Yarrowia lipolytica: one gene and its partner. The protein of the gene in region 1 binds, or shares a complex with, the protein of each later gene. Links are inferred from orthologs where the notes say so. Each region holds a gene or a part of one and is shown on either strand. Other genes may lie near its edges.

What was found.
Region 2: YALI1_B08193g (region 1) and YALI1_D04901g share a complex: the UniProt entries of both Saccharomyces cerevisiae proteins name them as parts of the mitochondrial small ribosomal subunit. The link is inferred for Yarrowia lipolytica from reciprocal best matches to the Saccharomyces cerevisiae genes MRPS9 and RSM25.

What each region holds. Positions count from the first base shown.
Region 1 is NC_090771.1:813,884-829,829, forward strand, and holds YALI1_B08193g (mitochondrial 37S ribosomal protein uS9m), read left to right. Parts: upstream 1-5,467; coding exon 5,468-6,427; downstream 6,428-15,946. Other genes in the region: YALI1_B08156g (uncharacterized protein), read left to right, coding at 1,751-4,252; YALI1_B08186g (uncharacterized protein), read left to right, coding at 4,720-5,082; YALI1_B08207g (uncharacterized protein), read right to left, coding at 6,739-6,888, 6,931-7,059; YALI1_B08214g (uncharacterized protein), read left to right, coding at 7,576-7,629, 8,082-8,297; YALI1_B08247g (uncharacterized protein), read right to left, coding at 10,399-10,869; YALI1_B08263g (uncharacterized protein), read right to left, coding at 11,986-12,516. UniProt on the Saccharomyces cerevisiae protein: Component of the mitochondrial ribosome (mitoribosome), a dedicated translation machinery responsible for the synthesis of mitochondrial genome-encoded proteins, including at least some of the essential transmembrane subunits of the mitochondrial respiratory chain.
Region 2 is NC_090773.1:481,524-497,480, reverse strand, and holds YALI1_D04901g (mitochondrial 37S ribosomal protein mS23), read left to right. Parts: upstream 1-7,331; coding exon 7,332-8,021; downstream 8,022-15,957. Other genes in the region: YALI1_D04969g (uncharacterized protein), read left to right, coding at 543-2,555; YALI1_D04936g (uncharacterized protein), read right to left, coding at 3,061-3,162, 3,668-3,777, 3,834-3,837; YALI1_D04910g (uncharacterized protein), read right to left, coding at 4,716-6,431; YALI1_D04814g (uncharacterized protein), read right to left, coding at 8,805-14,710, 14,789-14,830, 14,915-15,957. UniProt on the Saccharomyces cerevisiae protein: Component of the mitochondrial ribosome (mitoribosome), a dedicated translation machinery responsible for the synthesis of mitochondrial genome-encoded proteins, including at least some of the essential transmembrane subunits of the mitochondrial respiratory chain.

The DNA of each region.
Region 1 (15,946 bases):
CGGCTGAGAGGAGGAAAAACCATCACAAGCCTCAAATGTCGCTAAAGGGCTGCCCGTCCGGATTTCTTGGGGAATTTGCGTCTTCGGACTTGTTGGAAGTCAATTTTGAAATTCGCGGAATTGGAGGAAAATCTGTAAACAAAGTAAAAAGATGAAAAAGGAAAGATGAAATCGATTACAGAAACATACCAGTATTCTATGGAAGAGAAATGGTGATGCCTTTTCGCCTTCCAGCCTTACTAATACTTGCATGTCCTTGCTCAAAATTTGCTGCACTTGGAAACAATGGTGCACTGTTGAGATACGGCCCCGAAAGCACTATCCAACACTGAAAGATGGCAAAAAGAACAAAAGAACAAAAGAACAATCAGAAACGCTCTATCTGCAGAAATAAGAGGCAGAAAATACGTTTGGGCCATAAAACTCCCGTTTTCCCCAGGAATATTTCGCCTTTTTACACCTTCTATAGCTTCTACCACCCTCGAACCCAACATCCGCCTGGCTAGCTCAATCGGTAGAGCGTGAGACTCTTATTCAAAGCAATCTCAAGGCTGTGGGTTCAAGCCCCACGTCGGGCTACGTTTTTTTGCCAGATCTTCTGCTTCAGTTCCTACCAGTATTTTGTAAGCTTACTAAGCACAATGGCAATGTTCTGTTGGTCAATCAGTGTTATCTGAACCTAAAGTACAAGTATGTATGTACAGTACTTGCCGGCTTATTCGTCTTTTTGTTTTCTCTTTTTTTTGAGGATTGTATTATACAAGAAAGTATGAGCACGGTTACAGGAAGAGTAATGTACAGTTTGTTGAATGTTTTTGGGGAGTTCTGATGGAGTTTCAACCTCATATATTGCAATTCTAACCCACTGCTCACTCCTTCTCCCGTCATTGAATTCCAATTTCAATACATCCAACATACTTGTATGTACTGTATGTACTGTACTTTTTTTTTTTTCCATAATCTCAAACGCATTATTTAATCACATGTGGAACGCAAAACAGGAAAATCGAAATAAAACACTGTCGTCTCCGCTCCCTCCTTGTTCACTCTCGTGACCCCGCTCTCGCGAGTCCCTATTCACGTGACCACATCCATCGTTGCTTGCTTTTTATCCCCCGCCCCCTCTTACCCCCTCTTCTCGTTTAAAATATTTTGCTGTTACCCTCGACAAAATAAAGAGAGGACATTGCATTGCTATTCGCGGAAGAAGAAGACGTGGATCTGGTATATTAGTGGAGATATGGAGATTTGGAGAAAAGATCCAGAATAGCCAAGGGACCAAGATCAGAATCATGTGACGATTTGTGCTACCCAGCCCAATTATTCAGCTTCGAACGTTGCTACTTGTAGTATCTCTACGTCACCAGATCAGAGTTTAGTGTCTCCAACGGGTGTGACGGCGCTAGTGTATGTACATACTGTAGTCAGAAAGACGACAGAGATGAGGATTTTGAAGAGGATCGTCGAAAAAAAGGGACTTTTAACAGCGACGTTTCAGTATATTCTGATCATGTGACCAAATATTAATAACTTCCTAGTCTTCTAGCCTTCTAGCCTTCTAGCTCACCGACCTCGGAACGCGGCTTATCTCTCTCTCCACGTGTTTTGGCAAACTTTCTTTGCCCCGTGTTCTGCAGCGTGCTGCAACCTTGGGTGTATTACCGAAGCACATGTTTGTGGAGAAGCTGACATCTCCAAAGTGGCCGAGCAGTTCATAATCTGGCCCATTTCAACACAAAAGCCCACAGCAATGCGACTGGTGCAGAGGTTCAACAACTGTTCCGGAGGGCTAAGCCCATCCAGAGTGGTGGTGTTAGCCAGTGCTACTGTTACTACTTGCCCTACGGGATCCACCGTTCTAGCAAGACGTGTTTCACTACCGACAAGAAGCTATGCTAACCGTCACACCTTTTCGACAAGGTCCATTCTGAGCCAGGACAAGATCACAACGTCCAGTTCGGCTGCCAAGACCGCCAATGAGATACTCAGCTCGCTACAGCCTCCTCCAGTTCGCCCCCACTGGTTTTTCGCCACAGACGTGTCTCTTCGAGAGCCCGACTTTCTGCTTGGAGACGAGGCTCTGGAGGATAAGCTGACAGGAAAGAAGGAGGAGCTAAAACGACCTAAGAAGTTCATGCCTTTCTCCGACCAGGACAATGCTCTTTTGGAGAAGCGATACCAGGAAGTGCAGAACAAGGTCACCAGCGACGCGATTGTGCCTGTGCGAGAGGATTACCTGTTTGAAGTGAATATCAACACAATGGAGCTTTCGCCAGTTTATTGGGAGGGTCCCATCTTCGAAGTTCGGCGTTCTGAATGGCTTCTAAAGGACGGATCAAATGCCATTCCTTGTTCCAAGCAGCTCAACGACCAGCTGGAAAATGGCTACAACAGCAAAAAGCCATGGATGGAAATGAAGGAGAAAAGCATCAGTATTAAGAACAGCATGGAGGAGGTCTCAGCAGGAACCAGTACTAATTGGGTGCTCAAGGGCGAACGGTATCAGGGCAAGCTCTGTGTCTATTCTACAGACTGTTACACTGCGTGGATCATGAGCAACGATGTCTACGGTATGCTGACAGCCGCCTTTTTGCAGAAAATTGCTTCCGGTAACATTCTGGGTGCGTCCAAGCTGATCCGAGGCTATGATCATGTCAAGAAGAAGGAGGACAGCGACGAGAAGAAAAACAACAACAAAAACAACGTCAAGAAGAAGAACAAGGACATTGGCAAGTTTGATGACAAACCAGATACACGAAAGGAGCCTCTCACGCCGGATATACACCACTTTTCCTCCGCACAATCCAAGTTGAGTAATCGATATGGGTCTCAGGCGTCCGAACAACAACAGATGGAGCAGGATTACGAAGACAACAAGGAGAATGCGGGTAGTCACGCATCCAAGGACGAAGACAAGGCTCCTCAATACGACCATCTCGTTCTGTGTGTTCATGGAATCGGTCAAAAACTGGGCCGCCGAATCAAGTCTGTCAACTTTGTTCATGATGTCAACGTGCTCAGAAAGACCATGAAAAGCGTGTTCAACGAAGGCAAGCAATTTCAGAAATATCGAGATGTGAAAATCGATCCCGAAAAGGAGAAGGAGGAGAGGGAATGGACACACCCCAAGGTCCAGGTTCTGCCTGTTCTCTGGAGATCGCAAGTGACGTTCAGCTTGACCAAGGCAGACATTCTACAGCATCAGGGAGACCCCAATTCACAGGTCTGTCTGCAGGACATTACTGTTGATGGTATCTCCAGTGTCAGAAACATCGCTGGGGACGTCATTCTCGACGTACTTCTGTACTACCAACCCTTTTACCGAAGACAGATCAACCAGGCCGTCATCACTGAGTGCAACCGAATCGTTGAACTGTTCCGAAAGCATAACCCCAAATTCCGAGGCAAGGTCAGTCTTATTGGTCATTCTTTGGGCTCTGTAATCTCGTTTGATGTTCTATCTAACGATCTTGCGTGTCCTGGATTAGAGAACAAGAGCACCGATGGCTTGGAATTCCCTGTTCAAAACTATTTCATGATGGGCTCTCCCCTTGGACTTTTCAAGATTCTGGAGGGAAGCAGCATTCGACACTTTGACGCCGAGAACCACAAGAACAATCTGATTGCAGACGAAACCAAGTTCCAGCCGACTTCGAACTACCTATCTCCCAACGTTAAGTACCTGTACAACATCTTCCACCCCTCAGACCCTATCAGTTATCGAATCGAGCCTCTGGTTGACAAGCTTGCTGCCTTTTTGCGTCCTGCCAGTGTTCCTTTCACCAAGTCTGGTTTCTCCACTGAGTCCATTTCCAACCTCGGTCGTCAGGTCGCTGAAGGGGCTCAGCAGATGTGGAACACCATCTACACGAGTGGAGAGAGCATCACCCAGAAGCTGCTCAATGCCGCAAGCTTCCTGGAGCAACAGAAAGAAGAGGAACGAAAAGAGGGAGCAGGAGAGGAGAAGGTACAGCCCAGCCACGAGGGTGCCGAGTTCCCCTCGACAAGTAGTATCTCCAAACGGAAGCTGACTCCCGAGGAGAGACAACGAGTGATCACCAAGCTGGGGGCATTGTCAGCCACTGGACGAATTGACTATGCTCTTCAGGAGAGTGTGCTGGATCTGGGATTCATTTCTGCCATTGCATCTCACATCAGTTACCTGGAAGATGAAGATGTGGCAGCATTTGTGCTGCAGAGACTGCTGGAAGAGCAGAAGGATTTGGAAAATAAGAGGAAAGCCGAAAGCTAGACAACCCAACAAACATTCATTAGAACTACAGCTTGTAGGGATACATTAATTATATCCATTTATGTCACGGCAGAGCCAGTAGCAGAATACACCGCGTACAGTTCCAGCCAATTATTTAACAAGGTTGGTCAATTTTCGCAGGTAGAGAATTTCCAGTCTCCCACAAGAAAAGTCAGTGAAATCTGGTATAGATATGAATGGAATCCCCTACAATTCAACAAGACTGGCGGTATGTTTCATAATGTCTGATTTCCCAATTCCTTGTTTTTTTTGATCGAATTTCGCAAGATCTAACAGCACTGCAGTTTCCCCCACAATCAACTCTAAGCCTACAGTGTACAGTATGTTTATATGTACAGTACAGTAATACTGAACGCAGAACTCAACTTTTCACTCATCAAAATGAAGGAAACAGGGACCAAGGAGGAGATTACACAGGTGAGTATTGACTGCCTTGATTACACCTAATGGCATATGATACATATGATGATGCAACACAAGTTGGCCTCGCGATCAACGACCACGCCACTAGACGATACGCGTGCACGCGAGTCTCTCGGGTCTTATTTATTCTAACCCAGCGTCTCAAATCTGCGATTTGGATAACTGTGTCGAGGATTGTGACAGAGCAGACGCGTAGCGTGCCTGTGGACAACTCCTTTGTTGATGCGTTGACTGAGCTCGTGTTTGAGCAGGCAGTGACCCTGGGGGGAGATCTGGAGTCGTTTGCCAAGCTCGACAACCGGGTGGTTATCACCATGAGGGACCTTGATATGGTATTGAGACGAAATGAGGGTCTGAAGGAGGCTGTTTATGCGTTTCAAGGGTAGGATAGGGGGTATTTATTGACTATTTATTTGAACATTTGAACATTTGAACATTTTGATCAAGTTGAGCAGAAATGCGAGTGATCAAGAGGTGGAAATGTCTCACCTTGGCCATTAATCGAACGCAGTGGACATTCTAGTAAGATTATTTTCATTTATTGACCAATTTAATGTCTGATACATTTTATTCACATTGTTCTGAATTTCCATGGGTTTTTTGCCCAAATCGAGACCCGTCACGGTCTCGAATTCAAGATAACCTTACACTATATGATCCTGACCAAAATCGAACCGGCGAGCTTCCTCCATGCAAAAGTCTAATTCTTGCACCCATGAAATTTCTCAATAGGCGGAAACTATCACCAGATCACACATCACCACAATCACAATGCTGCGACTAACTCGATCGGTGAAAAACCTGAGTCTGGGCGCCGTGCGGTTCCAGTCAACACAGGCTCCTCGACAGCCCAAAAACATGTTTGTGCGAGAGGCTGAGCGGGCTGAGCGAGACGCACAGGAAGCCCAGAAGTGGAGAGGAGGAAAGAAGCACCTGAATTTTGGTGTGGACATGAGCATCTCCGAGACACCTCGCGGCGCGGCCGAGAACGTGCGAGTTGCCCCCGCAACGGCTCTTCAGTACACTGGTCGAGGAGCTCATGAGCAGACCATGGAGGTCGTGAACCGAGTCCGACGTCAGTACGAGTTCCTTCCTAGAAACCGAGAGGGTGTTTCTCCCCCTAATTTCGTGACCCGAATCACTTACCTGACCATGCTTGGTTCTTCCGAGCCCGTTTCCGGCCCCCAGCATACTGAGCTCACCAAGGCTCTGGCCGATCTGTACTACATTGACAACCAGCTCAAGCCCCAGGTGGTGAAGGATCTACTGCGTCGATTCTCGCGAAAGATTGATACCGACGCAGAGTCCGGCGAGATCGAGACTCTGGACGAGCAGGGACGAGCTGTGACCCGAGGTCGACGAAAGACCTCTTCTGCACGAGTCATTGTCACCAAGGCTCCCGAGGGAACCGTCGGTGAAGTCCGAGTCAACGGTCTGTTGCTGTCCCAGTATTTCAAGGAGCTTCAGCATCGATCCGAGGTGCTGTTCCCTCTGTCGGTCGTCCAGTCCGAGGGCAAATACAACGTGTTTGCTACTGTCCTCGGTGGAGGCAACTCTGGCAAGGCCGGCGCTATTTCTCTGGGCATTGCTCGAGGCATTATTGTCCACAACCCCCTGCTCCGAAAGCGACTGTCTAAGGCCGGATGTCTGACTCGAGACGCCCGTACCAAGGAGCGAAAGAAGCCTGGTCTCCGACGAGCCCGAGCCGCCCCTACCTGGGTCAAGCGATAAGAGACGAGAACTGTATATATTTGTCTTGTGGAGACGCCACTTGGCTGCCTTGAGCAGAACGATAGGTTGTCAGTGGTGGTTGCACTTGGCCGTTGTTGGTATACCTGTATATAAGATAACGAAGATGTTTGATTGAGATGGCACGAGTATGCAATAGTCTTACAGAAAGAATACGTCTGGCAGCACACAATTCTGCCATTACAGAGAACCTAACTCCTATGTCATTCTCTGACCAATGATCTCGCGACATACCTTATAGATATGTTCCTTGATTCATTTCATCTTCTCAAGATTCCCTGTCATCTATATCATTACAATCTATAGCTACCACTGGCACATACCGTGGAACTAGTCAGTACTTGTGCCTTATTTGGGCCTGGGGATCTCTGTGACGAAGACCTGAACCCGCTTTTGGAACACTCGCCACCAATCTGAACCCGCTTTGGAACACTCGCACCAATCTCTGTCCGCTATGCGTGTGACCATGTTTCCAAGGATGAAACAAAGAGATCGGCACTATACACAGTAAGTAAAGTCGACCTGATAACGACCTGACTTGGACCGAAACGTTTCGGAGACACCTGAGAAGATTCCAATGGGCAAGTGTCTAACACAGATACCGAGTTTGACATGCCGATTGAGGATGAGTCTCACGTCGATAAAAGATGGAACAAACCCCAGATCTGAGTCACCACTTCATCTTTTCAGCATCAGATCCTCTCAAGATTCTTCAGATGTAGAAATTCATGTTTCTGATACAGCCGGGGGCCAGTTCGAGCCAGTTTGATGAGACCAGCTCGACTGTTCGTATTTTTGGAGTAGTTTCTGCGAGAGTTGTGTGTAGTAGAAAAGGCTCAACCTCGCGTTTTATCCTCGTATAATAATGTATCCTGTACAATAACGTATGATGTAATCTTTTTATTGAAACCTGGATTAATTCCTGAAAGGTTGCGTTAAGTAGAGATCTTGATATTGTTATCTCCTCCAAGGTACAGTACAGTACAGATGTTTTTTTGTTTTTATTTTATTTTGTTTTATTTTATTCTATCTATTTATTTAATTTTGTTCCACATGGTGTCATGCACTCCACCACTACACTTTCCAGGCTTATCACAATTTTATCTCACTTGCAACTAACACCCCAAAGAATGTTTTTTGCTCGGCACGCCAGCACCTTGAAGTCCAATAAATCGTTGGAGCATGTGAGTATGAGAATTGAGAACCTGAAGCTGGTCGCAACGGCGACTAGAACTGGGTGAAGGTCATAGCAGCAGAAGTGCTGACTCAACCCCGATCCCAACTAAGGCACCACTGCAGAAATTGCCAACAAATATCGGATTATTGGAGAAGGAGTCTGGAGAAAGGAGTCACGTGATCCAAGCTGGCAACGCTAGTGTAATGGCTGTCAGGGGAGTGGCTTCTTCTGTTTGGCAGGTCGTTCTTGTGGTGCCATGAGATCAGCTGTTACTTGCTGTTGGGTGGATATACGAATACGGGTGATCTAAGGAAACAGCAGTACCATAATCTCGCCGAAAGTTTTGGAACTACCATTGATATGTGACATCTGAAAGTCTGCAATGTCAACAGTGGTAACTCTCAAGAGCAGAGCATCATCTGGGGTCAATTCTACGCATCAGTCAAATGCTAACCCAAGTTCGTTCAAGCAGCTGCAGCCCGTCAGTTGTGGCGAGACATCTGCAAAGCAGCGTACACCACTCCGCCTACAACCCGGAATGAACTTATTACTTACGCCCGAACCGAGTTTGATCGACGCAAAAACGAGTCGGATATCCTGAAGATTCGGTACTACATTTCGACCGGCACAAAGGAGTTCCAGACCATCGCAAAGAACATGGGAATTTCGCTTTAGGGACATTCAAAGGGCTACAGAGATCTTCTTCGACACCACCTGATCCATAACCGCATTATAGGACACACAGGGCTATCCACTAAGGCTGCATATAATGGCTATCACGAAGAACAAAAGACCACCGCAGGTACAGTTAATGAGATAGTAATCAATTAAAGTAAGCGAGTGACATGTAGAAGTTTCCCTCACATATAAGGAACGACTGGCCACTTACTCCTTAAATCCGTTGTTAATCTCCTGTTCAAAACGTGCCATCATAAAGGTCCATCACCAAGGGTAACAGCTGGACTCGGCAGAGTCGAATAACTCTTGACTCGAATGAACATACCAGTAGTAGGTCAATGATTTTGGACCAGAAAAGCTCGATAGTCTCCATGAAGGAGGTACTCCAACCCTGGGGAGTGCGGCCTGGGGTAATTATCTCAGGAAAATGGTTGATGAACTCGGTTTTAAGGGCAGGGGTAGGGGTTTGAGAGAAGTTGAATCACGCCTCTGAGGTTCCTACTAACTGACTGATAATATTTACTTTTCATAGTTCTTCTTTAAGAAGTCGCAACGCGAAATATGAATTAAAAAAGTAATTATTATTATTATTATATTTACTGATGGATCGGCTCGGTGAATTTCTCATTAAAGGTATTCTTTGTAGGCTCGTTCTGCCGTTGTCAATCATGGCTAGCACTGAGAAGAAACCTCCATCTACACTTCCCGATTGGTCAAGCCTATCGAGTGTCTAATGATTGAGGGAGAGTCCTTCTTGAGACCGGAACTTGACCAGACGGATCTGCTGCTCATCAGTGTGGTACATGGCAATGATATATGATGGCAACAGAATTGGTGCAGTTCTTCTGGAACTGTTCGTACGGGAGTCTAAGTCACACGGGAAATGACCTCTTTGGTACCGTATGTACAGGATGTACTGGTATATAACGATGCGTGGGACTTATGAGTCAATGAGCTCAACTACGACTCGAATCTACTCGAGTTATAAGGACATTAGCAGAACGGAGACGGGATCAGAACCCCCACCGAGGTACTCATAATCGCTCTTCGAAAGCAGTACTCTGTGAGTTCTTGCAAATCTCCAAAACGCCAGGCCTGTCCTACAGGTAATCTTCTTGCTAACCAGTCAATGCGAAAATGATTCAAGTCATGTTGAGATGGTCGGCTTTGAGTTGGCGATTCGGTCACGGTTTGAAGAAGCTATGGTATCCACATGAAACTACGATTTCTCGTCAGATAAGTAATGTCTAAGCTCCAGAGAGAGCACAGTTGGCGGGGTCTGTAGAAGACATACCATAATCCTAAGTACTGGCCATACCGTTGTTATTTGGACAGTATGTGTGTATCCATAAGGCCCCTCTTTCCTTTCTTCGACTAAGACGACAGTAATTTTCCTTGAAACTAGCATCCACGAGATCACATAATTCAACAAATTCCAAGTTAGAATGGAACGGAATGAAGTTGAATATCCTTGTTACATTCATATAGAAGGTCTCCGAACTCATATTACAGCCCTTTTCTCTCCCCGTAGAATGTTCTTCAGAGAGAGAATGTTCGAGCGTAAAAAGAAAGTTTCATCATCGTATCCGACTAACCTTATTTTTGACAAAGGTCTCGGTTCATCTCTACATTACCGTCTACAATTTACCAAAATGTTCTAAAGAACTAGTTTGCGGTTTCTCGCTCGCCGTCACGTCAACCTCCACAGATTCTCTGGTATTCTTTCTCCTTCGACAACGTTCTCTTTCTTTCAATCATGCAGAGATCGACACTAATATTTGCCACTAATGCAACTCTGACGAGGTCTTTCGAAACTCAATCCGGCTACTTCAACAATATAAAAGGCCCCTCGATCGCCCTGTTTTTCAAGCATCAGAAGTCGATCAGTCTTTCAGCTTCTGCAGAGGATTTGATCACTTCGAGAGATGCTGACACGGATGAGCGGAAGCTATGAACCTGTACTTGTCCTGCGCGAGCGGACATTCGCTCACTTCTACCATGAAGCAACTTGAGTTCTCTTTTGTTGCAGAGCTGGAGAATCAGCACATCTCTCTTCATGCCTCTACGGATGGAGCTATGACGAGCAAAGATTCGCAATCTACTCTGGAGCTCCTTCTCTCAAGATGGTTCGCAACCACGGGTGAAATTCCCAGCACGAACAACACTTTGGGGTCTGCTCTACTGGTCCTGTCGCAAGGCAGTATTCCAGAAGTTGCTGAGCGGAAGCTGCAAAGCCTTTGCTACGACTCAACTGTTGAGACTGATTAAAACCGTGCGTGAAAGAACGCATGAGCGAGTAACTAAGACGTGAAGCTGAGCGTAAGCTACGAAGCTGCCGAGTGAAAGGAAACCCCTCAGTACATGCACTAAGAGGACGCAGAGTGATGACGAGTTTGAGGCTTAGCAAGCCCCTCATGAATCCTGTCTCTGTGGATATGAAGCAGTGACGGATATGAAACATTGTCCATGAGCTCTCCGATAGTATGGGTAGCGCCCAAGGGTGCAACTCCCTGCATGGATAATAACTCCTGAATGCTTTGGAGGGATGGACTGCCGTTTGAACAGTCATATGTCTCCTCCATCTGCTGTTGACTTGGTATCAGCACACCAGGAATCACGGTAAAGAGAACCGCTGACACACGATCCGAACCTGATCCAGCTTTTTCCGCCTGAGCATAAGCGTCTGCAAAGACCGCCACCGAGCAAAGTGTTTGTGCCCAACCTGCCAGGCCGCCAGAGCAAAGAGCCAGTCCGGGCCGCAACGAGCCAGAACTAGAGCCGCCGACCGACAAATGCCAATAAAACAACACCACGATAACGCGGAAGAGCCGCCTGGAGCTGTTGATGGTGAAACTCCACCAGCCCCCAGAGCAGGAGACGTTGGAAGCGACTGAGACACGTCAAGTTATGCCAGCACAAGAGTGACACTGTGAAACGATGACGACAGCGCGAAGGTGAAACTGTGAACTGCGAGAGCAGAATGCCAGCACCTTGAGAGCATGGGCCAGAGCCAATCAGTAAGAGCCAGAGCCATGACAATTAGCCAATGAGTGCCAATGAGCCAATAAAAGCTAGGTGTTATGCAATAAGAGCAGAGAGATCCAGAGCCAACGAGCCAGATCTAAAGAGTCAGAGCTCCACAGAGGAGCCATACTAAAGGCAGTCGGAAGTTGATCTTCTAGATCCAAGATTCGCATTCAGAAAGGATGTAGGAAGTCGAACCTCGACACGAGGATGTAGACGAGACCGAACCTTTTAGTCTATAGAAAAGAGGATGTAAGCGATGAGCTGAACCTCTGGGGATAATACATTATGGACCATGAAGTCCCACCCAAATTACAAATTGTAGTGTTCTATGTGGAGATGTTTTTGTACTTGTAGTTATATCATCGTAGAGGATCATAATGTCGTAAGTGCTGAGAGGTCAGAGAATTAATATAGAACACTTGTGGTCCAGCTAGGGTTTCAATTGAGCCGAACTACCACTAACTCAAGCCCTCAACCCACCCATTGATTGAACAATATAGTACAAACATTACAAGAACTTCCATGTGTGTATGATAAGAGATATATTAAACCTGGCTACAGTAGAAGCTAAAAAGAAACTGAAGGAGTGATAAATAATCAAGGATGCGATAAGGGGTATCGGCCAGATTTGATGATAAGATGAAAATCAGATGAATAGTTACTCCTTTGTGGCACCAATGGTGAATTTGATAGGCTCCTTGCAAGCGTAGGCTCCGTTGAAAACGTAGACAACCTGTCCACCATGGAGAGGATCAGTCTGGGAAGTACAAGAGTAGAACTCTCGAGTTCCGTAGGAAGAGAGTTCCTTGACAGAGCCATCGCCCTTGTAAGCCCAGCCTCCGCTGTTGCCCTCAAGGGGAGGAACGGGGCCATCCTTGACGTCGAGCTTACCGGTCTGAACATCGGCAAAGAGTTGTCGGGGTCCCTGGCCCTCAGAGAGAACGTTGGTCATGGCATTTCCAACATCCTCAACCTTGAAGTAAGAGTAGCCCTGTTCAAGGCCGTAGACAACATCGTTTCCTCGGATCTGAAGAGCCTTCATACCGAGAGCTCCCTGGCCAGGCATAAAAGCGTGGAGAGAGTAGGTGGGGTGAGAGGGCTCGTTGTGCTCCTGGGGCTGCTCGCAAGCAACGGGAGCAGCAAGAGCAGCAGAAGCGGCAGTGAGAAGAGAGAAAGTCTTGAAGAGCATTGTTGAGATGAAGTTGTGGTTGAAGTCGTGGATGTGGTTGTTTGATACAGAACTAGAGGGAGATTGGACTCCTATATATATGCCTGAGATTCAACTCGAAATAGAAGTGCTCAAAATAGATTGCCCCCATATCCGCTCAAGACGGTGATGCCGTTGGATATTGAGTTTTCGGTTATATTTAACTAGCATATAATATGCAAACGGGATGACTTGAATGCGCAGCAGAAGTTGCGATTTTGTAACGAATATGGCCGAAAAAAAAGCCCAATTCAAGTCAGGAGAGTCTTTCTTACCGAGAATCCCTCCCTTTTCCTCTTATTTTGGCTCCTCAGACATCATTTACCTGACATTGCACTGTATATATTTAAGTTTGGATATAAATAGAACAGCAGAGTTGCATCATATCAACGGAATAAATGATGTCATAGTATGGAGTATGAGATATTTAATCAGACGTGAAGAGTCAGATGAGTTGTCGTGCTATGATTATAGCAACTTAATAGATGCACTGTACGTGTAAATTGTCATTCTGATGTACAGTACTTGTAGTGGTACCCATGTGCTAGATTTGATCTCAGAGATTCGTCGATAAACTAAGTCATTCGGCGCCAACGGGCACTATAACCTCATTCGGTGCCAATGGCACCAGATCTTCCCGAAAATGTTGGTGAGATTTGGTTTCCATGCATTGCAAGAGATGCTAGAAATGCCGAGATGCCGAGAAGGGAAATGTAATCCCCTGAATTGAACTTAGAATCAACGAAGGAGATGATATTTAGTCGGTGCTGGAAGTTCGTGTTTGATATGAAATGCATTGTCTGTTTTAATATCCAAAGAAAATAAACAAGAACTTTCTTGTCTCCTATCTATTCTGTAACTAACCAGTTATTGCTCTCAAGTATCACAGTACAGTATTCTTCCACCATTATACGTAAGTAATGCACATTAATGGAGTTAATTGCCCAGAAATGTGCGCCCTTGCTGTTTATTTTACACAAAAGCAGGCTAATATAACAAGAGCAGCTCTTGAATTGTCAAGGGTCTGTTTAGTTTCCCTCGTGGAGGATACAACTCACTGAAGCCAATGCTCCAATAGAGTTCCTTTATCCATATCTGTTACAACTTGTACGAGTAGTGGTTGTCTACATCAAGTTCAGTATGTTGAGTAATTCCACCTACTTGGGTTTCAAGGCTACTGTGAATTAGAAGAGATCGGACTCACCTGGGGTCAAGCCCAGTGTTTCATTCGAAAGAGGACTTGCTTTTACCATACTGTAGTGCAAATAGTTAAACGGACTTTCATCTCCGACAAGAATGAAGTGTAAACATCTTTTAACTACAGGTATGGTACCAGTGTGAATGAGGAAAGGATTATATACAACTGCCTTTTTCAAATATTATGTTTTTCCACCCTGAAACCGAAATTCGGGACATCAAAGTGACAGTTCATGCTTGAGAGACGAATTTCAGTTTGCAGTCCACTGGAAATGAAGGCGTATGGAAACTGGATCTCGCACACTGTCTCTGAGTTGAAAAGGAGAAGTTATAGAAGAAGAGGAATGAGGTTAAAGCTGCAACAGAAGAGGGAGAATCCCATGATCGACGTGTCTGACATGATGACGGGAAACGGGGAGATTTAATCTGGAATACCCAGTCGGAAATCCCACGAGTCCAGAAGAGATTGTTCTTTGTTTAGCTTTCGCCAGATCTGAGGCGTAGAAGAATCTGCAGACTACAGTAGAGGTTTGTTTCAACAAGTGGGTGAATTTTTCTTAGTAGTGCTCTCACTGTCCAGACAGTGTTTACATTTCGCTGGGATTATGCCGTCCATGTTCCAAGAGGGCTAAACTGAGGTGAGATCGAGATGCCTACGGTATTTCAGCCTCCTGAGATGAACCATATGCTGTGATATAAATCAGAGATAACAGACCATGCTATGCTATTACTTGCAAAACGGTGGCCTGACAAAGCTCAGAGACCATCACTGATACCAGCAAGAACTGAAATTGCACTTTTTTTAGAGATTGTTCCTTTTGAAAGACGTATTGTAGATGTTGACGGATTGTAATGTGTACTTGCAGTTGCTTGGGTTACAGTTTGAAGGAGAGAAAAGTGCGTATAATGAAGGAAAAAACAATAAGTAAGGACAGATAAAAATATACTTGTGATTACATAGAAACTTCAATATGGAATACAGATGATAGTTGATATGATCCTGGAGAAATATATATATTATTAAAGAAATCAAGAATAACTAAAATGCCCCCAACTAGAATAAAACACTTTGGCATCTCTTTGCTCAACTAAGGCAACAGACAGAAGATACTGCCTAGCAGACATACACTCACCTGGAGTAGTTTCAGACGCAATATAGTTTCAGAGATGCATTATCTAAACTCAAAAGACCTTCGTACGATATAAATGGATAGCACCTCCAAAACTCTGGTTGCGAGCTTTCATCAATTCTACTACAAGTACAGTACAGTACTGTAGCTATATTGTTCTGCGTCTTTCAATTCGATTTTTGATGTATTTTCCCGCTGGATTATTTCTGTCCGTTTCTACTACTTCTTTCGACCCAATTCTATCTCTCTTTTTTTTTTGTCCTGCTTTTTTTTTTGTTCAACCTTTTGTTCAGTCAGCTCTTTTCAGTCCAACTTTTTTTTTTTTTGGTGTTAAGTTAATAATTAAAATGAATGTTATATGCAGAAAAAAATAAATTGGTCAGCTACTTGTAGCTCATGTTTTTCTTCCAATTTTCGTTTCTTAATCCCCAACATTCGAAACCTGGGTGGACTCATAAGGCAACAGCGCTCGCCCTACCCCAACATAGACAACAGTTTGAGACACCTATCATAGAGATTGTTTGTCGATGATTTATGTTTCGATTAATTTGAAAATACATGGGGTCGTGGGGTATCTTTACACCATTCCCATAGCCGTTAGCTTGTCTCGTCGCTGGTGTCGTCGCTGGTGTCGTCGCTGGTGTCGTCGCTTGTCTCGTCTTTACCGTGTTTTTCAGGTAGTCAGTTTGTTTAATATTCTAACTAAAAATGGTAATACTTGAACATACTAGTTAACAATAGAGACAACCTGCATGCACAGATACCTACCAACAAATGTCTACAAATGTCAAGAGCAGGACAAGCGAAAAAAAAGTAACAGAGGACGACAGGACTCGAACCCGCAGCCTTTGGAGGACGTCGTTTGTATGAAACAAGCCGAAATCCAATGCGCTACCATTACGCCACGTCCTCTTGTGGTGGTCGGGGGAGAAAATGGCAATTTGGTTCGTAAAGTGAAAAAAACCAAAAAAAACAAATTGAACGCCAATAACCCGGCTTACTAGGTATATAGCTGTAATGAATCATTAGAATAAAAACAAAAAGTAGCTGTAATGAATCATTGGAACAACAAAAAACAAAAAAAC
Region 2 (15,957 bases), on another chromosome or scaffold:
GGTGGTAGAGATACCACGGAAGTAGTGGTGTGCTGTTGTTGTCAGGACACGTTAAGTGGGACGATTGAGTCGAATTGTCTTCCAATAAGATCTCTTTTCAGCCTAACTACCTCGGAGACTGCCCTTTCTCCTCTTATATGGACGCTCGGGTCTCTTTATTTTAGTCAGGGCTCGGGCTGAGACACAGTTAATTTTATGTGCATCTCCATACAGCGGGGACAGGGTGCAGGTTCAGAATGTGCTGGTACTGTACTCACACGAGTACAAGGGGGCTTGTGATTGTTTGAGGAGCCGAAATTATTGTGGTGCCAGATGATCGGCTCATTTAACGGTGCGCTAGAAGCGGGGTAACATCGTTATTATTACCCTTAGTCTGGACCCAGATGAGATCTATGGGTACAGCAGAAGGGGGTGCGATACGGGTATACGTACGTACATACAAGTACAAGTAGTGTCTGGCTGATGCTGCTCCCTCTGAGGGACAGCCTCCGTCGTGTCTTTCGCCGAGTCTCCGTTCGAATCCTGGTTGCGTTCATTTACGCATGTTGATAAAAAAATATTTTAGGCTTCTGGAATATGCAGTGGGAAAAATATCTGAGGATCAGAATATCTTACTCATACACGCAAGAATGGCTCGATCTCACAAAGTGACCAAACCCAAGCGCCAGCAGGTCGACACATCGGGGTCGTACAACGCCCTGATGGTGCTGATGGGCGACAATGTCAAAAAGGCTGAAAAACGGGTTGAGGAAGAGGAGCCGGTGGAGCAGGAGCTGGAGGAGGACGATATTGAAGGTGCTGGAGAGGAAGAAGAGGAGGTCGACGAGGAGCAAGAGGAAGAAGAGGATGCTGATGACGCCGAGGAGGACGCTGAAGATGATTCCGAGACCGACAAATACGATCCATACAAACTGCATTTCGAGGCTGAGGAAGCCAAGTACGTTTCTGTCATCAAGTCTGAGGAGTGGAAAACCTCGTCGGAGAAGACCAAGATTGGTAGCCAGCCCGTTCGAATCACATACACAAATCTGGAGGATGCCGACGAGCTGTTGGACTTTTCCGAAGCCCAAAAAACCGAGTTTAGCAAGTACACAGTTCGGCCCCGGATCAAGGATGGCTTCAAGCAGCTCAACGGGTCTCTGACGTCGGTACAAAAGGCCATTTACCCTTCACTCATGGCCTACCGGGATCTGTGCTACGCCACCTCGAGTCTCAGTGATACCGAGGAGTTTTCGCGGCTAGTGGCCATGCATATTGCTCAGCATGTTGTTCGAACGGCTGAAGAGGTGGCATACAACACACGTATTTTGAAACGAAACGCCGAGGAGGGAATCCACGACGTTGAGTTCCGGGATCAGGGATACACAAAGCCACGAGTGCTGGTGCTAGTGCCCACAAAGAACGCCTGTTTCGAGTTCATGCAACTACTGGTTGGCGCTTCAGGAGTCGATAGAGAAGATAACAAGGCGCGGTTTAACAAGGCGTTCCACGAGGCTGGCGCTGTGCTCGACACCAAGCCCGAGGACTTCCAGAAGGCCTTCAAGGGCAACACTGACGACATGTTCTGTCTGGGCGTCAAGCTACGAAACAAGAGCATCCGGTACTACTCGTACTTTTACCAGGCTGACATAGTATTTGCGTCTCCTCTGGGTCTCAAAACGCTTGTGGGCAGTGAGGGTGACTCCAAGCGGGAGTTTGATTTCCTGTCGTCCATCGAGATCGCCTACTTGCATGAAACCAACCACATGGAGATGCAGAGCTGGGACAATGTGTTGACGGTGCTGGGCCAGACTAACTTGCTACCCAACGAATCTCATGGCTGTGATTTTAGCCGAGTCAAGAGCTTCTATCTTGACGGACTAGCCAAGCACTTCCGACAGACCATTGTCGCCTGCCAGTTTGTCACTCCAACCATCAACTCTGTCTTTTCCAACACAGTCAACTTTGCGGGCAAGACCAAGATCACTCCAATCTACAACGGAGAGCTAGCAGTGGCAGGCATGAAGATCCGCCAGATTTTCACCCGGTTCAAGGCTCTGTCTGTGTCCGATGAAATCGATGCCCGATTCAAGGCCTTTGTGCAAATCACGCTTGAGGGTATGATTCGCTCGGGAGACTACTCCGGAACTCTCATCTACGTGCCCACCTACGTCGAACTTGTGCGTCTCAGAAACTACATGGACGAGAAGAACATTTCTTTTGGTGCCATCAGTGAATATTCTTCCATCACCGAGGTCAAACGACACCGAACGCTCTTCCGAGACGGCCGAGAAAAGATTCTGCTGTACACGGGACGTCTCCATCACTACCGACGATACTTTGTCAAGGGAGTCAAGTCGGTAGTTATCTATAAACTCCCTGAGAACCCGGCCTTTTACAGAGAGCTACTGCTGTTTCTGACCCACTCGGTCGATGAGGGAACGCTCGAGCAGTCTATGGCAAAGTGCAGAGCCCTGTTTACCATTTACGACCTGTTGGCCTTGGAGAGAATTGTGGGAACGAAGAGAGTGAAGACAATGGCAAAGAGCGGAGAGAGCAGTTATGAGTTTTATTAAACACATAACTCCCAGACCGAAGCTGCTTATACACCTAATGACGGATTCTGATCTCACTCATTTCTTTCCCGGGTAGCTCACTCTCTACAATCTCTTTTAAGACCACATATATAGACACTAATAAAGATACAACTGGTCGAGATCATGCGTGTACCCACTGTAACTTGTGAGAGAGCTACTGTATTTATATGTCCTTCGTTTCACACACGGCTAAACATGAGACTTTTCGGTATAGCACTCATGGGTTGTAGACACGATCCGTTTGATATAAGAATGCAACTATCATGTTCTTCTCGTATGATCTACTTGTAGTTAAGGTACTCTCAACTCCTCGTATCCGTTCTTCTCAGAAAAAAGGTCCTGCCTGTCCATTTGCACACCACAAACAAAGCCTCTTCTCTAACAGATAACCACTGCTTTTTAAAAAGTCTCATTTCTATATATCCACCATTGCTTATTTCTCTATTTTGCCATCTGTCGATGGATGTTAGTTGTAAGTTGCTGACTACTCAATCAACTTGCTGACGGCCATGGCGATGCAGCACAGGGACACGTACGGACTGAGTCGTTCGCCAATTCGGGCTGCTTTCCAGAAGATGCCGAGGGGTCTGTGTTAGTACGGGGGTGGATGGAAGTGAATGGTGCGAAACATCACCAACGGACACGGATGGACATGAACGCAGCTGGTAGGCAAGCAGTGAGTAATATAGAACGTGTGGGACAGCTGTAAGTGGAGCTTGTGGGAGCAGTTAGCAGCCATACGAAGCAGAATGTGGAACACCATATGGCCCCTTTTTTCACTACAACTCCAGCTCACCCTACTATGAAGATCACAGCACAGTATGATCTAGCTGCTGTTGCTTGCCATAAGAGAATCAACTCCAAGTTCAGGTGTGCAGATAGCTCGCTCTTTTGTTGAAGGAGAATCACGTGGAAGAATTGGGTGCCAGGTCACTTATGTTGCTATCGACGTGTGGAACGTGACACTGGGAACACAGCCGTTTGTCTTACCGAGTCGTTGGAGATGTGTCGTGTCGCAGATGTTAGGACCACGTGACTGGATCACGCGGCCCACGCAACAGGCTGGTGTCTGTCACGTGACTTGGTACTCACCCAGTCTTGTTCCGGTCCATAATGGCGGGAAAAGTGGCATGGACGTATGACGAGGTGCAGATGAAGAGCAGGATGACCAGCAGTAGAGATTGGAAGTTGAAAAGTGCGGACTGTGTTAGTTGTGCACCAGAAATCCTAGTAGCGTTTGTTGCGGCGCGATACTCACCATTTTAGCCGAGTTGGAGGACTACTTGGTTGTGAAGGGAGTTGATGTAAGTGGTGATGTAGGTGTTGAAGTTAGTTGTATTTTTTTGCATATACATTCATTTAATTATAACTTTGCCGTGAAAGAATAACCTTTGAAATGAATGTACGTATTGTACATACTGTAGTTGTTGTGCATGCGCCAGAAGTTGAATGATGGTTAAGACTGCGAGTAAAAGGGGCAATGGAGGAGAGGGGGCCTCGATTTAATGGTGAGAGGAATAATAATCATTTACAAGTAGATGAGAGTAGTTATATAAAGGATTAGACAATTATTGGTGAAGAAAACGAGGATTGTAAATCTATGTTTTCCACTAATATCTTCAAGTTTACTCCATCAATAGTTAACTAGTGGTTAAGAGTTGCCAAGTAAAAAACGAGCAGACAACTGTACAATGAAGATCCCAAGGATGGAGTATTGGGTATCCACATCGTTCGGTACATACTATTCTACAAGCACATACTGTGTGGACTCGTATAAGTACGGGTAGTTTCATATATCTAAGTCCAGTCAATTTCTCAAAAAAGCGTTTGGCTTAACAAACAAATTGCAATTTAGAAAAACCTTACAAATGTGGAACTGGTTTGATGTTGCTACCCCCATTCACATGTTTACATATACACACACGCGCGTTCATCTTTCCATCTACTCCCCTCCTCCAGAGAAGTAAAAAATGCAATCTATTGTCATCGGACCTTTCCGATATAAAAGTATTTTTGTCATCACTTGGGGCCTGCTTTCCTCCCTTCATGTTGGGGGTTCTTCTCGTCCAGTTTCACTCGCCTCCTGACGTCCCCTTTCAAGAAGTTCCTCATCGATTTGACAGTCGTCTACAAGGCCTTTTATTTTGTCGATTCATTTGCGTCCTTGGTAGACTCATCTCCAATTTGAAGGTCCTCCTCAACCCTAGTTTCCATCTCAGCTTCAATGTAAAAGTCCGCTTCCTCCAGTTTCGACCATGCTGTCCGTGTAGGCTGTTCCACCTTCTCCTCCTGCATCTCCTTAGGAGCAGCCATCTCTCTGGCATACCGCGACTTGTCCAGAAACACGTCCATCCACTCCTGGACCATGCTGATGGGCGGCTTCAGCTCTCCGCCTCCAAGCCCCTGGTGTTTTTGAACATGCAACCGTCTAAAATAAATAAAAATGTACGCCTGCTTCTCCTCGTCCGTCCTTGCCAGTCGCACGGCCTCCAGGCAGTTGGCCTCGGAAATCAACGCAGTTCCTCCTCGAGCATCGATCACCCCGGTCGCCTTGTACGCCTTCAGAGCCGCCATGAATAGCTCTAGAGTGAAAATGGCATTGTCAGGCTTCGTTTTAAGCACGTACTCGGTCAGATAAATGAGATCATCGCCCGTCCACGTCTCATGCTTCTCAAACCCTTGGTACATGTCTTGGAGACACATTGTGGGCACTTCTCCAAAGTACATCTGGGCCATTTTGAGCACTCTGGTGCACTCTGAGAAGGATTTGTGGTGATGGAGGAGCATGGAAAACGTTTCGGGAGTCATGGTTGTCGGAGGAATGTCACCTATAGAGCTCATGTGCTTGTATGTGGTAGTCTTGGCATTCTTCTTCCGGGCCGTCTTCCTCTCGAACTTCGCAGCTTTGAAAGCACTCTTGTTCTGACGAACAGCATTGTTGATCTCGCTGGTGGAGAACTGGGCAAGATGCGAAATCACAGCCACAGCCTTGTCGTATCCTCCTTCACCACTTCGCAGTAACCCCCATATCAGAATGTTGACATCTTGGGGTCCCGTGTCTCTGCCTGAATAAAGACTGTAGAAGGTCTCCAGAGTGTCCTCACCAGCCCTTAGTCGCTGTCTGAACACTGTCTGTACTGTAGTGGCGTCCCATTGCACTCCCTTTTGCTCCATTTTGTCCAGCAGCTCCTGAAATGCCTTATTATCTCCCTTGCAAATCACCAAGGCGATATTGAAGGTAGAAACAGGCCATTCGACGTTTCCTGAGAGCAGCTGCATCATGTATTCCATGTCTGCCGAACTCGGGGGCGCTGGCTTTGCCGGGTTGTATTGAGTCTGCCAGTTTTTGTCTCTCAGCACGAGGTACACCAAGGTGTTGACTTCCTTGATAGATAACGGGATTTTACATTCGCGCATGTCTTCACTGATAGTCAACAACCGCTTGATGGTGTGTTTATCACGCAGAGCCGGCGATATGATCAGATCCAGCAGTTGTTCCAACTCAGCATGTTGCAGATGAAGCGGTCTGGGTGTGGGCAGGTTCAGATACAGGTTGTAGATGTCGTCGATGTTGATTTCTTTCGAATAGAGCGCCTTGGTGATGGAGGCGTAGACAGATTTGTTGATACGCTTCCGTGGCACCATGTACCGCAGCTGGCGGGTCTCGTAGTAGTTAAGACTCTCTGGATCAGTGTTGCGCCCCTTGCGTGGGGGTGGCTGAGATTGAGACACAGAAGGTACGTCGAACGGGCGGAGTTGGCGGATTTTCGATTCCATGAGAGTGGAAATAGCACGGGTGGGAGTCACGCGAGCTGAACTGGCTCGGAGCACCGTTCTAACGGCCCTTTTGTGCATTGTTGAATGGTGATATTGAGATCAGAAAATAGTTGCAGGATGGAGAAGTTTAAAAAAATCTGGGGAAGGTCAAAGGGTGTTTGGTCTGGTGTCAGATGGAGTGTTATTGCACAAATTTGACGTATTATATGATTCAAGTATCGCAGATGTGCCTGGTTCAAAATTTAAACCTCTAGGGTGAATATTGAAGGCGAGAGAAAGACAGTCATTTTGTTGATCGCGTAATTTCCCAGTCAACTAACTTTGGATATTAGTTGGTGTAAAACTTAGTAGGATGAGAGCATTAGATAGCACTGTTGTAGGGGTATTAGACAAGTTAAAGAGATTGTAGAAGTTTTGTTGACAAGAAGATGTCATAAATACCGACCGATGGTACTTTCATCTACTTCCAACAGCGTTTAAGACTGTATACATCTTTTGTTAGCCATACAAAGTTCAGGCACACATACTGCGGATATGTGTACAAGTTGTCCATATACAGAAGGATCTTGGGATATATACTGATTCAATAATAGTTTCTTCAGTTATAATACACCCGAAAAATCCGCGGAATCTTTTTCCTTCTCCATACACATCATGCTCCACCTCCGAATCACCCTCCCACACATCTCCCAGCAATGACTTATAGTTGTTTTCGCTCATAACCTATAGAAAGAGGGGAGGGTGCGCACTGTGGCTATCTGAAGGGGAATTCCTACAACCAAAAAAGAGCTTCTCATTAAACTAGTGTTACTGAGTAATATTCGATTATCCATTTTCTCCTCATCTCCGCCATACCCCCATTCTATTCCCATACCCAATATCTCTTCCTCCTGATAAACTTTTTCAGTGAAAAAAGCATGATCCCACAACATCTCACATTCACATCTGTGAAACAACACACTTGTATCCCCACACACCATGTCGCAACGAATCAAGACCGCCGCCGTGGATATTGTGCATATTACCAGTGGCCGAATTGCCTCCGGCATGCTCTCCCACGAGCCCATCTGGTACCGGGCCATGGCTGCCAACATGCCCACCACTGTCTACCAGCACAAACCCCATTTTGAGAAGCTGGCCCGAATCGCCCAGCGGGAGTCTGAAAAGCTCAACGAGTTTATCAAGACGCGGTCCAAGCCGGTGCGGGTGCGAACCCGGCATCTGTATGAGCCCGTGCACCTCAAGTTCATGGAGGATGAGATCCGAGAGATTTTCTACAAGCAGCATCCCTGGGAGCTGGCGCGACCCAAGCTGATTGTGGAGAACAGCGGTGACGATCACGTGACCCAGGACTGGTCCAAGATGTACCAGGCCAACAAGAAGCTCGACGGTGAGTCTGTGGTTCAGCGAACCATTTATCTTCTGGGTGAGAAGAAGACCCACGACCAGAAGGCTCTTCTGGAGGCCTACGACAAGGCTCGATTCGAGTTTTACAAGCTGCGAATGGCTGAAGATGTGCAGAACGTCACTGCCGCCGAGGAGGCTGATATGTTTGGAGCCTGCTTCTCTACCTCGTCGGTGGAGCGAAACCTGTTCCATGAGCAGAAGCGAATTGAGGATTGGAAGGAGAAGGCCGTGGAGATGACGTTGGATATGGGTGCCAAGTAAGCATGAGAGCAGCTAATGATTTCACTAGGTCATGAGCCTGGCGAATTTATCTGGACCCAGGCTTTTGAACATTAACATACTCACATGCTCCCGAGCCTACCAACAACTAAAATAAAGTGTATATAGTCAAGTTATGAAACGAAAACGATCTGAGGGTCTAGTGAATGGGTCCCTGAGACAGATGATAGTCTTGTGGAGACAATGTTAACGAGTTTGACTCTGCTGCTCCTTCCAGTGATCCATAAGTCTCTCTGTTGATTTGATGGGTTCTTTGTGATAGGTTATATTGTCTTGCTTACTTCAGTCGAATTTTGAACTCTACATTGTAACTTATTGGCCATTCATGGAGTTCTACCCTCAGTACATACAGTACATCGTAATGCAACTGTTGATGCTATTGTACGTCTAGCTAGGCTACATTCTGGGGTTCCAAAGTTGAAACCATCTGTGTAGAGCCTGTGTCTTTATGAACAAGCACATACTTCTTCCATCTATCATCTCTGTGATACTCTACCTTCGAACTTCATTTAGCCTGCCTGGTTCTGTTGAGTACAAGCATTTCACAGCCGAACCATCTCTCGTTGTACATTTAATGCATCAATGTCATGTTATTTATATACAAATATGTCCCTGTGTCAACTCCGACATGCTACAAGTAGTGAGCGACACTGTTCAAGTAGGACAGTGGACAGTAGCCATAGGTCAAGTACGTACTCAAGCTGAAGTGTTGTACATTCTCATTGTGTCCTGAGTGAGGATTCGCCTGAATTCGCCTCTGAGAACTCAGTAGAACGGCGTCCACCCGTGAAAAATCACAGCCAGATTCTCCACGCTCACCGCCTCCCCAATCAGCTCTCTCACCACGGCCTCCGTGCTCAATCTCACTGCGAGCTTCCCCTTTACACCGCTCAGACACATGTCTGCCGTCACGTTGGACTCCTCCAACTTGATATCAGACAAGTCTGATCCCGAAGAGCTTCTTGTTTGTTTTTTCTTGGGGGACATTGTCCACGAATACAACGGATCGTAACGAAGCACGTTGAGAATCGATAGAATGTTATCCTGCTGTTCTCGGAACAGACCCAGGGACAATTCACAGCAGCGCCTAAATGGCCCATCGACTCCCACACTACCCATGGCATCAACCATGTCTCTTGTGAGTCGAAAGGGCACCTTTTCAGGCACAGTCAGGTTCTTGCCCTGGTCAAACGAAATACCCAAGTCGATATGCACCAATTGACCTGTCTTGTAATCAATCATAATGTTGTTACAATGTCGATCTCCAATACCAAGAATGTAACCAAGCATGGAAGAAGCAGCTGCTGAACGCACATAGTTGGTACGGGCTTTGAACCAGGCCTGGGCGGACGAACGAAAGTTCTGAAAAAAGTATTGGCTCATTACAGGCGTCACGTGCGTGTAGATTTCCTCCAGTACCTCGACCCGTCGACTGTTGCTCTCCTTGGCTACCGCACTCATTTTGGTCCGTCCGGTAAGGTAATCCCAGTCGTCTTTTTCGTGTAAAGGCACCAGAGCTGCCTGGAGAGACTCCGTGTTGGCCACAAACTCAATCATGCCTGCTCGAGGACCCATGGGTACCACATTGTACGTTCTGATAGACAGGCCACGTTTGCGGGTCTCGGGGTCGCCCAAAAAGTACTGGTTGACTCTGCAAAACACCTGCTCCATGATAGCGTCCTGTCGCATATCGTCTTTGCCTCCCTTGAGAAGCGCCTTGGACACTGAGCCGTCAGAGAGTTGGAAGTCCATGATTTTAGGGTGCGAAATACCACCTGCTTTGATCACCTGCGCGAGCACCTTGTTCATTGACGGTATGTCGGTGTAATCGAGAGATAGCGGAATCTGAGCAGTGGGAGGGGGTATATTGAGCTTCCTAAGACCATTCTGCCACCATGAGCCGTTTGGAAATTGATTGATAGACGCCTTTTGACCCTTACCAGGCCATTCGGCGTTTGCCAGCTCCACGCATTTGTCAGTGAAAATCTCCATGGCTCGGCAAATTGTCTTCTCCTGCGTTTTAACGGTGTTCCACACCTTGACTGCGGCCTGGATGCGTCTCTCAGTCTGGGGAGACGCGTCGGTGCGCATGAGGGATGAAATTTGATAGAGACAGTGGAATGGGTGAGCTTTGCATGTGGCAGACACTAGGTCTAGGAGAAGCGTCTGAAAGTAGTTGTTGGGCTCGTAAGAAAGCTTGGAAGACAGCTGGTTGATGAGAGGAGCCAGTTTGAACGACGGAATCAGGGCGTAGTCCTGCATACGTTCATTGACAAAGTTCACGTGCGAATTGCCAAACCAGAGCGAAATCAGCCGAGTCACATCTTCATGGTATTCAGAGTCTCGGACAGCACACGAAAGAAGGTAGAATTGCACTGCCGAGTCAAGGAACATAGCCTTGAGTCTCTCGTAGTTAAGTTTCGATTCCTTGGCACGATCCAGCGACTTCCTTGAGATTCTTTGCGCGTGTTTAATCTCCCTGGTCATTGATATTCGCGACAGGTTCGCCAATTCACCCTCCAGACGTTCAATGTCCATAACAGCGTTGTGAATCTGCTCGTCGTAGTTTTGCGAGTGCAGCTGGGTCTCACAGAACTTTGCAAACACGTGAAACATGCGTGTTTTCGGGTTGCCGGCCGGAATCAGGGCCATGTACTCACTTGCTCCGGCAATGTAAAGACGATGAATCTTCTCGGGAGACATCATACGTGCTTGCGAAGACCAGTCGGTGAGTAGGACGGTCGCCTGGCAGAACTGAGAAGCTAATACAGGTGACTGGCCGGGATTTATCGATCCAAGCATGCGTTTGAGCATTTCCACGGGTGTCGTTCGACTCACAGCAGCCTCGGACCATAGACAAGAGGCGATGGAAATGGCGCAAACGTTTCCGGAAATGTGAGACGCAGTTCTGGACAGTTCCTGTAAAGAAACAGCGCAGTTCTTTGAAATTTGCGCATTGTTGAGTTCTCTGCTGACAGCTCCAAGCTTTGACAGTGTTAAAATACCATTGTAGGAGGCTGTCTCAGTCTTGATGGTTCTCCAGGCTGAAGCACAAAACTGTAGAATGTCTAGGACTCCGTCGGGAGGCTGGATTCGATCCAGATAGTCCGAGTTCGCGTCCAGTTGCATCTGATAGAGTAAGTATTGCATGCCAAGATACTTGTCGGACAGGGTACTCTTCAGGACAGGTTTCTCATCCACCACAATACTCCTCAGTTGAGACAGCACCGTCTGGTCATCTGTACCTGTTTCCAGAATGGGGTCTTCCAGCAAGCCCAACTTCCACCGGTACACGTCATCAGAGTTGATCGTATACGCGAGGCCGTTCATTCCGGATGTGCTTAGGTGTGAAAGAATGTCCGTCTTACTTTCACCACCTCCCGTCTCCACACTCCAATCAAACAACCCCGACTCGTACTCGAAGCAGGTGAGATTCTGGTTCTCGTGGTTGAGCTGTTTAAGTGCCGACTCAAGACACGGCGTAAACTTCAACCCGTAGAACAAGTCCGGATCGTCGATGTTCTGGTAGATGTCGTAGTAGCTAGGTTGGATCTCCTGGCTCGCCCAGCACGCCTTGTCAGCCTCAAGAAAGTAGAGAGCCTCGGTGTAGAGATGCAGAGTGAGTGCTGAGTTGACTATTTCGGGCTGCCAGTTGAGTGTTCGGTGAGCAGTGAACGAGTTGACGAAAAAAAAGGTCTCGATGACCACCAGAGAGCTGTTTTGAGACAGGATCTGGGACAGATAGGAAGGCTCGCCTTGTCGACAGTACTCCAAACACGTCCATTTGAAAATAAACGGGAGAAGGGGAGACGTGCTGGACAGGGTCCTGACTAGAGGAATAAGTAGTTCAAAGTCACCTCCTAGTAAGCCCAGTAACTCGAGAGTCGTTTTTTGAACCCATCCTGTAGTTGGCTCGTCGGTATGAGTGTACTCCAGCACTCCAGAGTCAAACACATGCTGTAATTCTGCCGGAACCTGCACTTGTACTTTGGTTACGATTTTTGAGAGACAAACCTCAACAGCAAATTTGGCTGTAAAGTCTGACCCGCGCAAAAGAGTCAGGAACTCGCTCGTGAGTGCATTCCAGAATGAGGTTTCAGTGTTGGTTTTTGGTGCACTATTGCTAGATTCTCCAAACAGCAAGTACCCTCTTCCAAGAAGCAGACTGAGCACCCTAGACTCCTCCCAGTCGAAAGAATACAGCTTCGAGGCTCGTTTGATAAAGGAGACTGTTTCCTTAGTGCACACAATGTCCATGAGACCCAGGAGTGTCATATTGGTTACTCCAAAGTCAAGGCTTTTGAGAAGAGTAGCTTTAAGTTTGTCGCTAATTTCTGTATGAAGGAAAACAGATAGGAACGCCTCTGGATCGGAAAAGCCGCTGTTCACCCACTCAATGTATTTACAAAGATGGGGTTCTGAGGGGTGAAGTAGATACAGCAACTGAGACACGTCTGCTCCAAAGAACGACTGTTCTCCGAGATCGGCAATGTATCCTTCCAGATGGGGTAGTTTGATGACCTCAAACAGTTCACTTAACAGATGCCTGACACTGGCTCCAACTGTAGAATGAGACAGGAATGAAATGAGACAAGAAACCATCTGTTGAAGCACGTAGTTATCCGGAGAGCAGAGATCTCTCTTGGGAAACAGACAGAGCACATACTTGAGCTGAACCAAGCGTAACGGAACTTCAAACGACACTCTTGGCTTCAGCATCAAATTAAGTAGTCCTCTTACTAACATCAGAAGTGTGCAAGGAGAATAATCAGGCCATGTGCGACTCAGAATGTCCAAAGGAGGTCCCTGGGTATTCCATTGGAGTGAATCTTCGCTGCATAAGAGCTGTTGGGTGGAGAAATGCCCTTCCTCTTCAAAAACACAAGAACCTACCTTGACGGAAAGGATTTTATCAAGAATAGAATCAGTTCCAGTCTGCTTGCAGAACCGCACCAGAGATTCAGAGTCTGTGTCGAGTTTCTGACGCAGCATATCCGTTTTCACTCGCTCGATAACCACCGGTAACAGGCTCAGGCACTCTCTGTGGACACTAAGAAGAGCCACGATCATTTCCTCGACCACAAGTCGTGATTTGGATTTGGCCGAGGACATGCGAGTCAGTGTCGCATCCATGCAATGGTACGAGTCTTGTGAAGAGACTCGTTCAGCAGCACAAATTGCCACGCTGGAGTACAAGTTGAGATATTCTGAAGGCGTGGAGACCTGCATCAGGCCGTAGAGCAGCTGTGGACCCACGAGAAACTTGTCTCGGGACACCCAGCGTTGCAGATCATCAGCATCTGACGATTCTGTCATGCCGCTTTTGAAGTATACGTCCAACAAGTCGACGACAAGTTGTTTGGCCAAAGGAGAACAGTCCCAGAGGTATGAAGATAGCAGAGTTTGACCAACGTATCTAAAAAGCTCTGGGAGACGTTTACCGGGGTCGCAAGAAGCGTACTGTTTGATGTCAGACGGGAAGATCGCTAATAGAAAGGGTTCAGATTTAAGAGGCCCTCTCAACAGCAACGAAAGACGTAAATCAGGCATGATATTCTTTCCAGAAGGAGAATCGGGGTCAAACTCGTTTTCGGTCACTTGACTCACGTTCAATAACTTCTCAATTCCATTTATGAACGAATCCCACAAAATGCAAAGAGAGTCGCCGAGGAGATTGTAGTGTCTCAGACGGTTGATCAAAGTGATGGCTTCAAAGAAAACGTGACTGTCACACGACCCACCTTCGACACGTTTAGTAACCACTGCCAGAAAGTCCGAAATACGACTATTCAAGCCCACAGGAGTGCCTTGTCGGTCTAGAACAGCACAGACCACAAGAGCAAATACGGTGGAAGGTAGAACCACATTGACATCTATACTTGCACTCTCACACCAATCTCCTAATTCGTTCAGGTAGTTTTGAAAGCCGCTCTTGAGGTCTCTGATCGTGATGGAAGGCATGCACTCTGTCAATTCAATGTCACCAGAGGTACTGGAGGTGGTTTTGAAGTCTGTCTTCCACATGATAGAGCTGGTGGTAGTCTCCAGAGTGTTCTGGGGTGTTTCAATCATCCTGATTAGGCATCCCACTGACGCCAGCAGCAACCCAGCAGTGTCCAGCATCATTTTTGAGCTTGTTGCACCAATCTGTTCCGAAGCCAATACCACAAACAACCAGTCGGACCACTGACTCTGAGAGCACGCCTTATGACTAATCAAAAACTGAGAAGCACAGGTGACGAACTCCAGACTGACATTAGAGTACTTGAGTGGCCCCTTACTCTCGGCATTGGAAGCTAGACTCACTACCAGCTTGGGATCAAGAGCTGAGCTATGTTGTCTTAGGATGGTAGTGAGAAGCACACAAGCAGAGTCTTCGGATCTCGTTCGCAGCTTTGCAACACCTTCAGTCCACCATTTGGTCAGGAAAACCACGTCATGAGCGTTCTTTGGGCTCAGAGGTGGACTTTGAGCGAGTAGTTTGGCTGCTGAAAAGAATTTCCATCGTGTAGTTTTGTCCAGTGACCCAGATATTGAAGAAAGAAGCGATGCAAGAGGTTTGTCGACCTCGGAGATGGGTTTGGAGGCCTGGAATGCCTGGATTTGTGCAGAGATGGCATTGAGAGTGGGTGTTTCGGGGGAGATGGATACTCGCGGTTTTTTTCGGGGTCCTGAGTTAGTGAACAACACTCATTCTCAGTATCATGTGCTGCCATGTGCTGTCTCATCTTCAATCATCTCATACTCACCATTAAAGTCCAATAAGTCGCTCTCGGTTCTTCTTCGGGGCGCTGGGTTAGTTCATATAAACCACTGTCACGTGCTTATCACGTGATTGTCACATGCTTGACACAAATCACTATCGTTTTACTCACCATGCAAATCTTCCTCTTGCTTGACGTTTCCATCCGTCAGAGTATAGGACAAGACATACTCCAACATGGCTATCAATTTACAAATGAGAAATTGCATCGTCTTTTTGCTGTTGACAAGCACAATCTCGTCTTCAAACACCACATCATTGTCTTGCAAAGAGCTGCTATTGTACTCGTTTTTCAGCACCTGTAACAACTCCACCATGTGGTCTTCGATCTGATTAAGTCTATCTTGGTCCAAGGGAACAGGGCAGGTTTTTCCAAAGATAGATGCCAGATAGATCTCCATTTTTAGCAGGAATCGTAACGAAATTTCTCTCACGGCTTTGCTTTTCGACGTGAAAAGCTTTGTTCCAATGGCGAAAATAGAAGGAACCATTTCGTGGCAAATTTCGTAGTCACTGCCAAAAACAACCTGAAATAAAGAGACCGAAATCGATAGAATTAACACGTGCATCTCAGACACTTCTTTGTACTTGTAGAGCATGGAATCGATGCAGTTCCATAGGTCATGCTTCAATTCAGCCATTCCCACGTATTTTGGTTTAGTAAGCAGGTCCAGGCACAGTAAGAGTTCCTGAATCAGCATTTCCAGACCACTCTCTTCCATACTGTTGACACACAGTGCGCTCAATTCACGACAGAGACATGCAACAGAGCGTCTGTAATGATCCCATAACAGATGCTCCAGGTGCGGTTTGTGGCTCAGAACCAGACGGAGATTACTGGCCACAATCAGCTGAGAGCCTCTGTCTTTGTGCCGGGCCAGTAAGAGTTCACATACTGTCGAGACAATGAACTGGCGACTACTCCTAGCCTTGAACCGTCCATGTCCCCTTGCTATCGTCTTGAAAATCGACATTTGAGTCGTGTGTCGCTTGCCTGTCACCGCGGAGGATGCGATATCACGTGATATACTGTCGCACACGCCCCGGATCACCATGCTCAGGTCTTTATCCGTGGCCTTTTGGGCGAAATCATTCCGATTCACCGTTTTTTCGAGCTGTTTGAGCCCCTCCTCTCGCTCCTTGACCTTGGTCGAC